Linked DNA regions of Coturnix japonica. The protein of the gene in region 1 interacts with the protein of each later gene in a biochemical or structural test. Links are inferred from orthologs where the notes say so. Each region holds a gene or a part of one and is shown in the gene's direction. Other genes may lie near its edges. The genes, in order: BCAR1, CRKL and PTPN12.

Region 1 (5,256 bases):
AGGGCCTGGCCCACAGCCCCCAACTGCATCCCCTTGAATGGCCGCCGTGTCCCCGTGGGCTGGGAGCAGTTTGGGCACTGCTGAACGGCCCCTTGTGCTCGGCCCCAAACAAGGCTGCCATTGTGTGCGCCTGCCCCACGGCTCCGCTGTGGGGTCCCGTGTGGGATCCATCCCATCCTCCCCATTGTGCGGCTGCAGAGAACGGGAACGTGGCTGTTTTCTCCCCGGACGAGCTGTGGGTCGTGGCAGGACATGGGCAGCCCTTTGGGCTGTATCTGCAGCCTGACAAAACATCTCTGCCCCTGGAAAGGCGAGGGGATAAAGCCCCGTTGTGATCCTGTTGGGTCCCGTGATATTACAAGCCAACGGGAATGTCCTCATTATTTCCCCAATATTGAAGTCTAATAAATCCCCGGCTGCCTTACAGGATTTATTTATCCGTTCATTGCTAGGAGACTCAGTGCCGTGTAATCCTATTGCTGCTGCGGGGGGCGGGAGGCAGCTTTCCCAAGGATGGAGCCGCGAGGAAGCAGCCAAAAGCCAGAAGCCAAAAGCTGTGTGGGTCCGTGTGGGTCCATGTGGGTCCGTGTGGGTCCGTGTGGGTCCATGCGGGGCCTCTGCTCCACCGGGCAGCTTCAGCCCCACGCAGGGCACAGTGCCACCCCTCCCACATGTGATGGTCCCACAGAGCTGTGCCCCACTGTGTGCTGGGCTCACTGACATGTCATGGGATCATTGAATCGCAGAATGGTTCGAGTGGGAAGGATCCTAAAGGCGTCCTGCACTGAGCAGGGACACTCACAGCTCCATCAGTGCTCACAGCCCCATTCTCTGACCTTGGCTGTGTGCAGGGATGGGGCAGCACCAGCTCTGTGTGCAGCCTGTGCCACTGCCTCACCGCCCTGACTGTAAAGAACCTCTAACTTAGCTCCGGTCTGAAGCTCCCTCTGTTAGTTTGAAGCCATTTCTTGTGCCGTCAGTGAGCAGCCCGTCCCCATACACACGGCACACAGCTCCGGGGTCCCGCAGCCTTTAGTTTCCGTTTGGGCACCGACCTCCCGGGGCTGCTGCAGCACGGGGCGCTCCCCCGGGCACGTCCCGGCTGTGTTGCCGCCCGTTGAGGTGCCCGTGCCCGGGGCTGGCCCCGCAATCACCGCCGAGCGGAAGCCGCCGAGTTCCGCCTGCGGTCTGCGGACGATACCGCAGCTCCGCCGGCCCCGAGGGAGCGGACGAACGGCTGCGGGGCGGCATCGCGGGCTCGACGGGCAGCGCCCGACCGGCCTCGTGCCTCCCACGGGCAGGAAGAGCCCTACAAGGGCCGGGGAGCCCCGACGGGCGGCGATAGGACCGCGGCCCCGGCCCCGCGCCCCCCCCCCCCCCCCCCCCCCCCCCCCCCCCCCCCCCCCCCCCCCCCCCCCCCCCCCCCCCCCCCCCCCCCCCCCCCCCCCCCCCCCCCCCCCCCCCCGCTCCCCTCCCCTGCCGGCCCCCAGCGCGGCCCCGCTCCCTCCCGCTCCTCCCGCCGCAGCGCCGCCTCCCGTCGGTGCGTCGCGGCCCATGGGCGGGGCGGGGCGGTCGGGCCCGTGCTGGCACGGCGCTGGAATGATCCCTCCGGCGCGGCCGCCGCCGCCGCCACCGCCATCCCGGTTCCGGCCGCCCGCCGCGGGCCGCGCCTCTCGGACACGCAGTAGCGCCGCTCGTTGAGCGCCGCGGGGCCGCGCCCGCCAGGCGAAGATGAACTACCTGGTGAGCGGGGTCACCTTGCGGGACGGAGCGGGGGGCGGCGGGGGCGGGCGGATGGGGCCGGGCCGGGAGCGGCGGTCGGAGCGGATCCGTGATCAGCCGGGGACCGAGCGCCGGGAGCGGGGCCCGTCGGGTGGGGAAGGGCCGGACGGGGCCTCCGGGACCGAGCGCGGCCGTCACCGACCCGACCCGACCCAGCCCCCTCCGGCCACGGGGTCGGCGCTGCCCGCCCGGTCCGGGCACGGCTCGTCCCGCGGGGGGCGGGGGGCGCTGCCATTGCGGGGCTGCGCAGCGCTGCCGGCACCGCGGGATCCACCCGAGCGCGGCGGCAGGAGGAAGGACAGCGGGGGAGGGAGGGGGCACCGAGCGGGGCAACGCGGCATCACCGGCGGGACGGGCCGGCAGCGGGACGGACACACGGACACGGACACACACACGCGTGTCCCTGTGCCCGCCCGGCGGCCGGGGGGGAATTCTCGGTGCGGGCTGAGTCACCTCCATGGCACTTCCTCCCCGGCGGGAAGGGGAGGGAAAGGCAGAGGAGGTCCCCGACACCGGGAGGCGCGGGGGGTCCGGCCCCGTCCCGGCGCCGGCTCCGGGACGGGTGGGTTGAACCGGGACGAGGAGGAGCAGCGCCGGGGCCGCGTCGGGTGCCGGGCGCCCTTGGTGCCGCCGAGTCCATCCGCGATGAGTCCCGACCCGGCCCGTTGCGGGGCTCTCTTGCAGAACGTGCTGGCCAAAGCGCTGTACGACAATGTGGCCGAGTCCCCGGACGAGCTCTCCTTCCGCAAAGGCGACATCATGACGGTGCTGGAGCGCAACACGCAGGGCCTGGACGGCTGGTGGCTCTGCTCGCTGCACGGCCGGCAGGGCATCGTGCCGGGGAACCGCCTCAAGATCCTGGTGGGGATGTACGACAAGAAGCAGCAGCAGCAGCAGCAGGCGGCCGGGCCGGGGCAGGGCCAGGCACCGCCAGCACCACAGCCCACGTTGCCGTACCACCACCAAGGGGGGTACACGCCGCTGTCGCCCGCCTCGCAGTACACCGCCATGCACCCCTCCTACGCGCCACAAGGGGACAACGTCTACTTGATGCCGGTTCCTGGCAAGGGGCAGCAGGGCCTGTACTCGGGCTCGGCACCCGCTGGACAGTTTCCCCCGGCTCCGGCCAAGCAGCCCCCATCCTACCCCAAGCAAACGCCGCCCCACGGCTTCCCCAGCGCCGGGCAGGACATCTACCAGGTGCCGCCGTCCCTGAGCCAGGCGGTGGACGCTTTCCCTGCGGGCTCTGCCAGCCCCCCCCAGGACATTTACCAGGTCCCTCCCTCGGCTCAGGCTCAAGACATCTACCAAGTGCCCCCATCTTTGGATGCGAGGAGCTGGGAAGGGCCCAAGCCCTCTGGAAAGGTAGGATGGGGGTCCAGGTACGGCGGTGGGTTGATGCTGTGGGGCTCCAGTCTGTTGTGGGGTTATGGAGGGGGGGAGTGAAGCGCTTTTGGCTGAGATGAGCTGCGTTTCCCTGGAAGATCCAGTGGGAAAAAGGGGACACTGAGCACCGTGCCTCGTGGGCAGGGCACCCCATTGATTGCGAGCATCCCACAACCTCCTATGGCTGCCGCACCACATTGCACCGAGATGCGGGTGGGGGTCTGGGCTCGTCCTCCATCGCTGGGTCCCTCGGTGCCACAATTAACCTTCAGGTCTCCATTCTCATCGCACAGGGCGGCCGTGCGGCCGGGCTTTGTCTGTAGCCGAGGCTGGCTGCTATAAATAACCGGTGATCTCATCTCCGTCCCTCCAGCGTCACTGCACGGAGCGGTGACAGCTCCAGGCCGGACGGGGAGCGCCCTCGCGTGGGCACCCACCGCACGGTGCTCCCAGATGGGCTCGGGGGGCAGCAGCGGGGGGTGCGCCAGGCTCAGCCCTGCCCTCTCTCGTAGGTGCTGCTGCCCACCCGCGTGGGGCAGGCGTACGTCTATGACTCCCCCAAGGCTGAGAAGGATGAATACGACTTTCCCCGCCACCTGCTCTCCTCGGGCTCACAGGAGATCTACGATGTGCCACCTGCACGCGGTGCATTACCCAGCCAGGTCAGCAGGGATGTGGGGCTGCATGTGGGGCTGTGGGGTGATGGGCTGCAGGGATGCGGCACCCAGTGCTGGGCTGAGCCGTGGTCTCCACTGTGTGTGTGCTGGGGCCACTCTCCTGCCCCTCACACCATCCCATCTCTTCCCAGCAGGTCTATGACACTCCCCCCATGGCGGTCAAGGGTCCCAATGGGCAGGACCCAGGGCAGGAGATCTACGACGTGCCCCCCAGCGTGGAGAAGAACCTGCACCAAACCGTAAGTGCCGCAGGGGAAGCTCATGCACCAAAAGAGACACGTGAGGGTGGTGGTGCTGCAGGATTGCGCTGTGCACCTCTCCTTCCACGAGCCCACTGCACGCCCAGAGCTGTTCTTATGGGCACAGGGGAGCGGGGCTGGTGTGCATGTGTGTCTCCAGCTGCACTGACACTACGTGGTGGTGCCCTTGCAGGTATATGACGTGCCACCCTCCGTCAGCAAGGACGTGCCAGACGGCCCTGTGCGGGAGGAGACGTACGACGTGCCCCCCGCCTTCTCCAAGCAGAAAGCCTTCGAGCCCCCCCGCCACCCCCCGGTGCTCTCCCAGCAGGATTCCTACCTGCCAGAGGATGTCTACGACGTGCCACCAGCGGCTGGGAAAGCCGCCCCCGAGCCCTCGTTGTCCCACGAGATCTATGACGTGCCTCCCAGCCTCAAGAAGCTGGGGGGGTCGGCCTTCCCCTTGCAGGAGGTGTACGATGTGCCGCGGGACCTGCACGCCCCCAGCAAGGGCTCGATGGACATGGAGGGTGAGTACATCTACGATGTCCCACCACAGGTGGACCGCGAGGCCAAGGCAGCTGACACCAAGCGTCTCTCGGCCTCCAGCACGGGCAGCACCCGCAGCAACATCTCCACCTCCTCACTGGACACTGTGCCCGTAAAGGAGCCGGCCAAAGGAGCCGGCAGGGAGTTCTCCCTGGACTTGGATGCTGCCATGGAGATGCTGGCCAAGCTCCAGCTCGGCGTCAGCGGTGCCGTCTCCAGCCTCATGTCCTTCATCAGCACCAACTGGCGCAGCCCCGAGCACATGGAAGCCAATGCTGCCGGCATCCGCCTGGCAGCCGAGGGTGTTCAAACAGCCCTCAGGGAGCTGCTGGAGTTTGCCCGGGGGGCAGTGGGCAACGCTGCCCAGGCCTCGGACCGCTCACTGTACGCCAAGCTCAGCAAGCAGCTGCAGAAGATGGAGGAGGTCTACCAGGCCCTGGGGCGGCACAGCCAGGCGCTGGATGCATGTCACTGGGCTCCCAGTGCCTTGGTGGCTGGCAAACCGGGCACGGACGACTTGGAGCTGTTCGTCATGTACTCGCGTGGTGTGCCCGATGACACCAAGCAGCTCGCCTCCTTCCTGCATGGCAATGCTTCTCTGCTCTTCAAACGGACAAAGCCAG
Region 2 (4,330 bases), on another chromosome or scaffold:
GTTTCCTGTTGGATTTTGACTGTCGTAGTGAAGCTTTCTGAATTCGAGTCTAAAACCTGGAACTCAAGTTTGTCCTTAAAAGTTACTTAAATCTAGCAGAGTAACACCGAGTTATTTATAGATGTTATCAGCCTTTTCCTAAAGAGGCTTTTGTTAGGTTCCTGTTTAAGTCATCGTGTTACTATATAAAGCTTTCTCTAGACTTTCCATTTAATGAGAAGTCAGACAAATTGTGCTTTTTCTCAAACACACCATCAAGACAAGCTGCAGCACTCCAAGAAGAGATGGAAACCAGCCACACTGATGCTACAGGAGCATGTAACTATCAGGCAGTGTATCACTACTTAGAGGATACACAGACTTTATCTTTTAGTTTACATACGTGAAGATGACAGTTGAAGAAAGTCCCACAATTATCACAAGAACGTATAGGAGTTCAGAGAGGATTTTCCTCTCTGGAAAGTACAACATTGTTCCACATGTGCCATCTGGAACATCTAGATGGGAAGTGGAAAAAACCTCTAAGTAGCGGTAAAAGCAGGGCAAGAGAGTGGGGTGAACATAATTATTATCTAACTCCATTCTAATATGCTTACATTTCTGAGAAATCTTCAGAGCTACACATTGCTGAGCGAGTGCCAGAGTTGAGTGTAACATCTTAAGTCTCACTTAAGGGTTAGGAATGCTTCTGAGCAATCTTCAAATAACGCTTTATTGCAGTAATGGTAACTACTTGCAGTAGGCTTTAGGAATATGTTTTGTAAAATCAGCCTTTTACTTTGAGTAAAGATGCACCCATCTAACTGAGAAGTTAGAATTCAAAATCCTTTGCCGAGGTCCTGAAACTACCTGTGTTAGTTCTACATGTCAGTGTTACTGAGATAATGCATATGAATTGTTATTATTGACATACTGTGTCTAACATGTTTTTCCCTCAAGAAGATCACAGCTTGTTGCCTCTGGAGCTTATAGAAGTTGGCTGCTGATGTGAAACCCGGCTGTGTAGTGCTTGAACCTCCTTTGGGGTAGAACCTTCTCAAGTGCTTACTGTTAGCTGTAGCATGGTTCTACCTTTTGTGCCCTCAGCTATTAGCTGCTGTTGTCACTTTTCTATACTTTACTATAGTTACCACATAGATGCAATTCAGTAAACAGGAAGGGAGATGCAATTAAGAAGGCTGCTGCAACAGGCCGCATGCTCAGCTCTTCTGAAACAGTTTAGGGGGAAATAACTATATAGTCTTCAGCACTGCCTGCTGTAGCACATTTTGCTTTATGAATTATCCTAATACAAATTAAACACAGCACCGAACAGAATAATTTACCACTTGAGCTGATGGCTTTTTCTTTTTTTGCTCGATCATAGCTTAGCTCTGCTCATCTTTGGCCAAATAGGAAGAGACGCAGTTGTGATAGGAAAGGCTCAACAAGTCACTGTTCCTGTTTCAAACTCTCTGATGGGAAGTGAAGGTGAAAGCAGCAAACCAAGCTAGAATTTGTGCATCTTAGACTTGGGAACACCTGTTACGGAATGCTTTTATCTGCTTTGGAAGCACAGCAGAATTGCAGAGAACTCCACCAGTTTCTTAGACCTTTACAGCCAGAACTGGAACTCTGAGTCTGTTTACTACAGGAATCTCTTTGAAAAAGATAATTTCCCTTTGAAATAAACCTGGTAATGCTGAAAACAAGTACTGTGCTCTTTTGAATGCTTGTTGCATCTCATTACTTGTGGTAGCTTTAGTGATGTCAGTCTGTCTAAGCTAAATATATTGCAGCATGAAGAAGCTTTTTTACAGGAAAAGGTGTGGTTCAGCAACTCATTGCAACATGTAAATATACATTCAGTTCAGCTGTCCCAAAAAGTGTACAGATTTCCAGCACCAAAGTGTTTGTATCAGTTAAAAACAACTGCTTTCCCTTTAAAGCTAAAGGTATTTTAAGTTACGAAGTCGTATTTTTTGTTCTTGTTTACTTGATTTGTATCAAAGCTGAGATTCTCATGTGTGCTAACAGGTGTTTTTTTTAATGCTGCAGGTTGGAGATATTGTGAAGGTTACAAGGATGAATATAAACGGTCAGTGGGAAGGAGAGGTCAACGGGCGAAAAGGGCTCTTCCCATTCACACATGTCAAAATCTTTGACCCTCAAAACCCAGATGAGAACGAATGATTCCCTTGATCTGATTTACACTGCTGCTTCCCTTTCCTGGCTCTCATTAGTGTTGTTTGAGGTGGGATGATGGCTAAATGGCACATTGCTAGCATTGCCCATTTTTCCAGCTTGCTGCAGTTTGACAGTTCTTTTAATACACATTTGGAATACATACAAACTGAAGTCACTGCCTGACCTTCATACCATAGATACAGCAACCAGAATTTGGTTTCACTTTTAAAACTGTATTGGGCCTTAAGCTGGAGAAGACTGAAGCAAATAGCAGACAAGCATGGGAAGAAAATCCTTCTTCTTGAAACTTCCATGGACTTGTTCTGGCCTGCTCAGTAGGAAGAGCCCTATCATAGAGCAAACATGCAACTCGTCTGTTACTGTCCAACAAAAAGCAACAACAAAAATGCAATTTTAGGACTGAAGAAAACTTAGTTTTAAGAAAACCTGCCCTAAGGTAGTACACTTACAATGATGGTCTCTTAAAAGGACATTAACTGAAGCTTACGTATTCTAAGCAGTTGCATTAGAAGCTGCTCATTCTGGTTAACTCTTAAGCTTGTTGACCTTCCTGGAAGTGTGTGTTAAATACAAATAACCATTGGTTGAGCTGCATTGAAGCTGAAGCATTTATTTATAAGGAAGCTTAGGAGGGGTTCACACTTGTAACCCATTTCTGACATAAAGTATTTCTGTTGATTTTGCAAGCACTAACTGTAATAAGTGAGCGTTAAAGGGAAACACTTTGACCTGGTCTACACAGAGCCCTTCTGCAGTGTTGGAAGTAGAGCTTTACTAATGTAGTAATGCTTGTCACCCAGCTGTTATTTGGTAGGCAGATGGATCAGATTGTTACAGCATGAAGAAGTACAAAAGGAACAGGACAGAAGACATTGGTAAATACTGATAAATTCTTACTATTTAAACATAAACCTTTTATACCTGTTTCTCTATAGTCTCCCTTATTGCTCTCAAGTTTCCTGGCTATACCTGCCCCAACTTGCTGAAGGCTTTGAACACAGTACCTTTTTCTCCAGGGTATCTCCACGTTGCCGTGCTCCTCTTCCAGAAGTTCTTTCTTCTTTCATTTTCTTCCCCTCACATCACAAGTCATTCACATGCTGCAACCTTTCACCTTCCAAAGGAGTTGGCTCTGGCTTATATACATATGCCCCAGACCCCTCCTACTCTCAGCTTCCTCTAGAAAGTGGTTAATTGGAGTCAGCTGCCAAAGGTTTTACACCTGATAATTAAAGTTCATGCTGGAGGAGGCCACACAGGTGTCTCTTATCAATACAGCTTTCTCTCCCCTTTTCTGTACAAAAGCTGTACTGTTGTAATTGCACCTTTGGTAAGGAACTATATGGCTGTAGCTATGTGAGTCTTATCAATGCCACGCTGGTCAAGTTCTTAACCTGTTTACGGGATATGAAAGTTTAGGGACAGTAGTATCTTCTACCTTCTTTAAATGTGTTTTCAAGGTGAACTGGAACGTATTTTTTAAATGATTTGAGCACCAATTGAACAGAATACAGCCTGGATAAAGAAAAGCATCTGCTGCAGAAAACCAGGGATATCTGACAGGAAAACAGTAGTGCCCCAATGCATTCATTTCTCAATATCTGAAGCTATCCATTGTAGCAAAAAGAGAAACCTCAGACACCCGCAGAACCTTCCTGCTTCTTATAAATGTCAGTTTGATCATTGTCTTCAGATCCAGTGCATTTTCTTACTGATTGTGTCACTTGATCCTCATAAAAGTACATTGTTCTCACTCAGCTGAAAGTACCTTGAATGGAAGACACTGAAGAAGTGTAAGAATAGCATTTCCAACAAGAGATGTAAAATGCTGTTGTGTTTGTTTTTTTAAAGAAACTCGGTTCATCTGTTAGTTACCTTTTGTAGTATTAATCAAGTGGCTGACAGTCTAGAAGTTCTTGTAGAGCATTTTATTACAAAATTAACTGTGAAGTAGAGTAGCATTGACTGAAGTGTTTGGTGCTGTAAGAGTAATTCTTGACAATAGGCATCGACAGGTTGTCTTGCAACAAAAACCTATGCAGCTCTTAACTAAAGGAGGTCATGAATTTCTGTGCCCCGACTCCACCTGTACGTTTACTCCATGGATTGTACTACTGAAAAGTCATCTTGTGAATACAGCAAC
Region 3 (4,489 bases), on another chromosome or scaffold:
ATTAAGTAAATTCTCTTGGCATTTCTGCCTTTTTCTACACCTCCCCCCGAACGCTTTACAGCTGCCTTTGCGCACTGTTTAAAAGATTGCCGAAAAGGTAGATGTGAATTTCCAGGATCTTTACATTTAGTTTGAGAGAGAAACTACTCAAGTTTGTAAATGGTCTGTGATGTGATCCCTTCAAGTTCTGATGACATTTTAAGTCAGTAGTTTTGATAGTCCTGATGGTAAAGTGTTTGTTAGCTACTGTAACGTTTTGTTTGTCTTATAGCAAGTATTAAATGCTGGAATAAGCAGATATTCTCACAGATATTTCATGTTCTTTGAGGATATTTTAATCTTAATATTCTTATGTCTTCAAACTACTGAAAAACATTTAATAGAACCATTGTAAATGTTTCTCATTTACAGGGTTTGAAAACGGCTTCGCCTGTACTACCTGGTAAGTGATGGAAAAGGTTGTGGCCATTTTTATTGTTTTTTTTTTTAATATGAAAAAGAATGCTTTTTCCACTAATCAATTTGTCTAGCACCCCTGTAAGAGGAGACAGTTCAAGGAACTTTAGAACTGATAGGATGCATTGGGTGTATTTTTATTAGAAGATCAGAAAATAACTATATATAAAGGTTTCAGTGAGGAGAGCAGTCCATCAGCTGTTGCTCAGTGGTGCAGGAACCTGATCAAACAAATGGATTCAGCTGTGATCTTACTTGATCTGCTACGCACCTTCTGTGTGTGCTTAAATTAGCTGCTACAGTCCATTTGGGCTTGTCTTATATGCTTGGTAGAACTAATTTTAAACAGTGAAATAGTTTTTCAAAATATTCCAGGTTAGCTAATAGGTGATTATATAAATAATGCAATACATAGTTACTGAATGTGGCCTTAAGCACCTTGCATTCAGAAATGACATGGACAGATGAGTTTGTATTGATGTCCTAAATGGTACGTTGTGGCCTCTGGGGATTTTTAGATATCCTTTCAAGGTTCATTAAATGGAAGTTTTGTATTTGGTGAGCAGGGACGTGTCACTGGAATTGCTGAGCATCTGCATGTGAACGATTTTGAAGAGTGTTTTTAAGAGATTAGAAAAATGTGCTGCTTAATCTTTACTTTTGTAAACAGTATTTGATGCACTTAATGTTCCGGACTGAGCTGTACTTAAAAATAGCACCAAGTGCTGCCTGGATGAGCACTGCATTCAATGGCTGCGTCTTTGTTTTCCAGGTCGTCCTGAAATAAGCAACAAAACGCCAACGGATATTTTACCTCAGATTCCTTTTTCTGGTTCCAGTGATCCAAGAGGTCCAATTTCAGATCTTCCCACAGATGTAACAGATATTGGTAATTACAGTTCATTCAAAGCTGACTGCTTGATATTGGAACAGGAGATTTCATTAGCAGTGCTGGTTCAGAGAGCTGCTGCTGCCTTCCTCCAATTTACCAGTGTGCAAAACCCAACCAAATCAGCTGGCTCCGGCCCATCAGTGCCACTAACACTTTTACACAGAATGAGAACTGCAGGCGTTGGTGGGCATTAATCACTTTATAATTCTTTTTAATGAGGGTTGGGTTGTTTTTGGGCTTGATGATCTTTAAGGTCTTTTCCAACCTGAGCAGTTCTTACGATTCTATGATGTAACCTCTGCAGAGCATTGAAAACTTTCAGAAGTAACATCTGGAAAAACTGCTTTGGTTTAAATAGCGACATACAGACATGGGCAGTTTGTATATAATTATGTTTTCTATGGCTTTACCGCCTTTAGAGTTCTTGGTACCACAAAGCATTATCTTAGCCCTGAGAATAGAGCTGCTGGAGCACATCTTACAGCTCTCTTTCTGACTGCTACCAACACTTTGAGGTTGTGTTGTTGAAGTGCACAGCAGTATTAAACCCCTGTGTTTCTTTAGGTTTTGGTAACCGCTGCGGAAAGCCCAGAGGACCGAGAGAGCCGCCTTCAGAATGGACATGATCCAAGAGCTTACGGACACACTATCAATAAATTATACTGGAAAACTCAAGTGCCACTGAACTAGAAAAAATAGTATTCCACTTTTCTGGGGGGCAACTAACACAGAGCAGAGTAGATCTAACTACCAGATGGTACATCTTTACTGTACATCCCACGCAAAACCTTAAACATTGTTCACAACAGTGGATTCCAGTATTACAACTTAACTTCTTGCTGGGGCCATCTACCTGCCTTATTACACTTAGGAGAAAGTATTACATACGATTTATTTTGTAACTTCAAGTATTATTGCCTTAATGTCTTTTAACCCTGTTACACGCTGCTTGTAGACATATGTTAATATAGTAATACTTGGGACAGATTGTGTTTATGGACTACTTTTTGCTAACGTTTGATTACCGTGTATGCATTATTTTGTATATGTACAGGGCAAGTAAGTATATAATTTGATAAAGTTGCAATCATAAAATATTAACAGAAGATGTAAGAAATCTCTGCATGATCTAAATTTTTGTGTACCTTATTTGTAAATTATTTGCCCTGAAGTTTTAGAAAATAGTTTCTGGGGTTTTTGTTTTGGTTTTGTTTTGTTTTTTGTTTTTTTTACAAACTTGCTGGACACACACAGCCAGAATTGCAGGTTAGCAGAGATAAAGATTGTAATACATTTTGTAAATTGTAAGCAAAAGGTTATTTTTATATTATATACTGTTTAATTGTCAGACCTAATTTGTTCTGGTTTTCATCTAGTCACAGAGATTCAGTAAGTGCCTTGGAACAATATTGAATTCTCTTAGCCTGTGTATGTTACTTCAGTGTTTTGAGTTCATCTGGAATTAGATGATGGAGAATATTTGTATGTTTCTAGTATATTTGACCTGCCAGTAAAAGAGAAACCGTTCTACATCTTCAACACTCCTTAGTTTTCATTTGAATGTTTCATCGGCTGCAATTTGTAGAAAACTCATCTCTGGCAACTTTGTGTAGAATAGTTTCACCATTTGAATGTGGCGTGTTTCTAATTTGGGACAAACCAGAACACACTGAAAGGACTGTTAAATACCGCTGTCTTCTCTCTCAATGGTAAGTACCATTTTTGTCCTTCGGAGACTCTGTATGTAAGAAAGCAACTTATATGAAGGTTCAAGTAGAGCCCTTGCAGCTACACTGTATCTTGGCAGTATGTTACGTCGAGAGTTAATCCTTATAAGGATTCCTTACTTAAACTTTTCTGTAATAGAATCTTTAAATTAAAGAAAGTAAAAATTGCAGTATGGGTGTTTTTACTTTTAGGAAAACAGCTGTATTCAGAAGCAATCTAAAACAGATGGAAGGGTGGCAGCCTGGCTTAGCTTGTAGCTTCTGTGTGTGAATACAAATAGCGATCCTCAGGACTTCATCTCTGTTAATGACTTAAAGCTGTGGCTTGTAGCAATGCCTGACATGTTCAGAGTAAAAATGTTTATTTAGGTAGAGGAGCCGTCTATTAATGTGAACGTTAGCCGTGGAAATGCTGTGTTGAATTGACTGTTTGTGCCTTTAGGGTCTCTTTGCTAAAGGAGAACTGCTGCCCGGGTAGCAGCCCTGCCAACCATGTCCAAAAGATTCGTAACCTGCAATAACTGTTTTGGACTGCAGAGAAATCCCCGTGTTTCTCACCACTGCCTGCCTGGGGAGCTTTCAAAGAGCTGAATGTGCTATAAATCCTTCACCTTAGCTCCCCCTAGGTATGATTTTGCAATTACTCATTTAACAAAAAATCACTCACAGATGCTGTTGGGGCTGACCTGTAGCAGTGGCTGCCTGCTTTGTAGCAGCTGGCACAGCTGGGCTGTCCTGCACAATGGAGGTGGCCCGAGCTGTGTTACACTCCGTGCAGAGAAGATGAGCTTTGCCTCCCATGGTCTCACAGACCTCCTGCAGTTCTGTGATGGGCTGTTGTTACCTCTGGACAGTCCAAAGCACCGACAACTTGAAGCAGCTGCTCCATAAGAAAACTTCTGAATATATGTTAGCTGTGTGCTTTCAGAGTCATTTCCGTTTCTCTCTACCAGGAATATACAGAACTGTACAGATTGTGGATAATCCACTTTTCACATTAGACTCACTCAGAACCATGGCTGACAGAAATCACGTGTACTGTGCAGACCATCTAGGCTCATGTTTTCCCCCTAAGATTTGTGTGAGTTATATGGTATTTGAGTTTGTCATGGGAGATCCTCAGCTTCACTTCAGCAGCTCTGAAGCTGAAAGCCTCCAAGCAGGTTCCCAACTCTGCACTGCCACAATAGCTGCCTTTAGTCCTTGGCTGTACTGCCTGGAAGCAGCGTTCTGCTGCTTTAACACTTGTGTATGCACTGTGTTGCAGGCGGTAGATCCCAGTGGGCAGAAAGCTGCTTCACTTTCTCAGGGCAATTCTCCTTGGTTTGAACACGTTGGGCAGAACGTGACCATGGGCTGATTTAACTTCAGTTTGGGGGCTGTGTGCTCTCAGCTCCTATGTGGCATTATGAAC

The links.
Region 2: the proteins of BCAR1 (region 1) and CRKL interact in a test that uses a peptide from one of them, tested with the Homo sapiens proteins (2 studies listed by BioGRID, with this or other methods). The link is inferred for Coturnix japonica from reciprocal best matches to the Homo sapiens genes BCAR1 and CRKL.
Region 3: the proteins of BCAR1 (region 1) and PTPN12 form a complex in vitro, tested with the Homo sapiens proteins (3 studies listed by BioGRID and IntAct, with this or other methods). The link is inferred for Coturnix japonica from reciprocal best matches to the Homo sapiens genes BCAR1 and PTPN12.

Annotation. Positions count from the first base shown.
Region 1 is NC_029526.1:681,048-686,303, forward strand, and holds the start of BCAR1 (breast cancer anti-estrogen resistance protein 1), read left to right. Parts: upstream 1-1,762; 5' UTR 1,763-1,794; coding exon 1,795-3,147; intron 3,148-3,680; coding exon 3,681-3,830; intron 3,831-3,976; coding exon 3,977-4,084; intron 4,085-4,277; coding exon 4,278-5,256. UniProt on the Homo sapiens protein: Docking protein which plays a central coordinating role for tyrosine kinase-based signaling related to cell adhesion. Implicated in induction of cell migration and cell branching. Involved in the BCAR3-mediated inhibition of TGFB signaling.
Region 2 is NC_029530.1:7,290,892-7,295,221, reverse strand, and holds part of CRKL (crk-like protein), read left to right. Parts: intron 1-2,037; coding exon 2,038-2,172; 3' UTR 2,173-4,330. UniProt on the Homo sapiens protein: May mediate the transduction of intracellular signals.
Region 3 is NC_029516.1:11,312,953-11,317,441, reverse strand, and holds the end of PTPN12 (tyrosine-protein phosphatase non-receptor type 12), read left to right. Parts: intron 1-411; coding exon 412-442; intron 443-1,228; coding exon 1,229-1,345; intron 1,346-1,912; coding exon 1,913-1,974; 3' UTR 1,975-3,245; downstream 3,246-4,489. UniProt on the Homo sapiens protein: Dephosphorylates a range of proteins, and thereby regulates cellular signaling cascades. Dephosphorylates cellular tyrosine kinases, such as ERBB2 and PTK2B/PYK2, and thereby regulates signaling via ERBB2 and PTK2B/PYK2.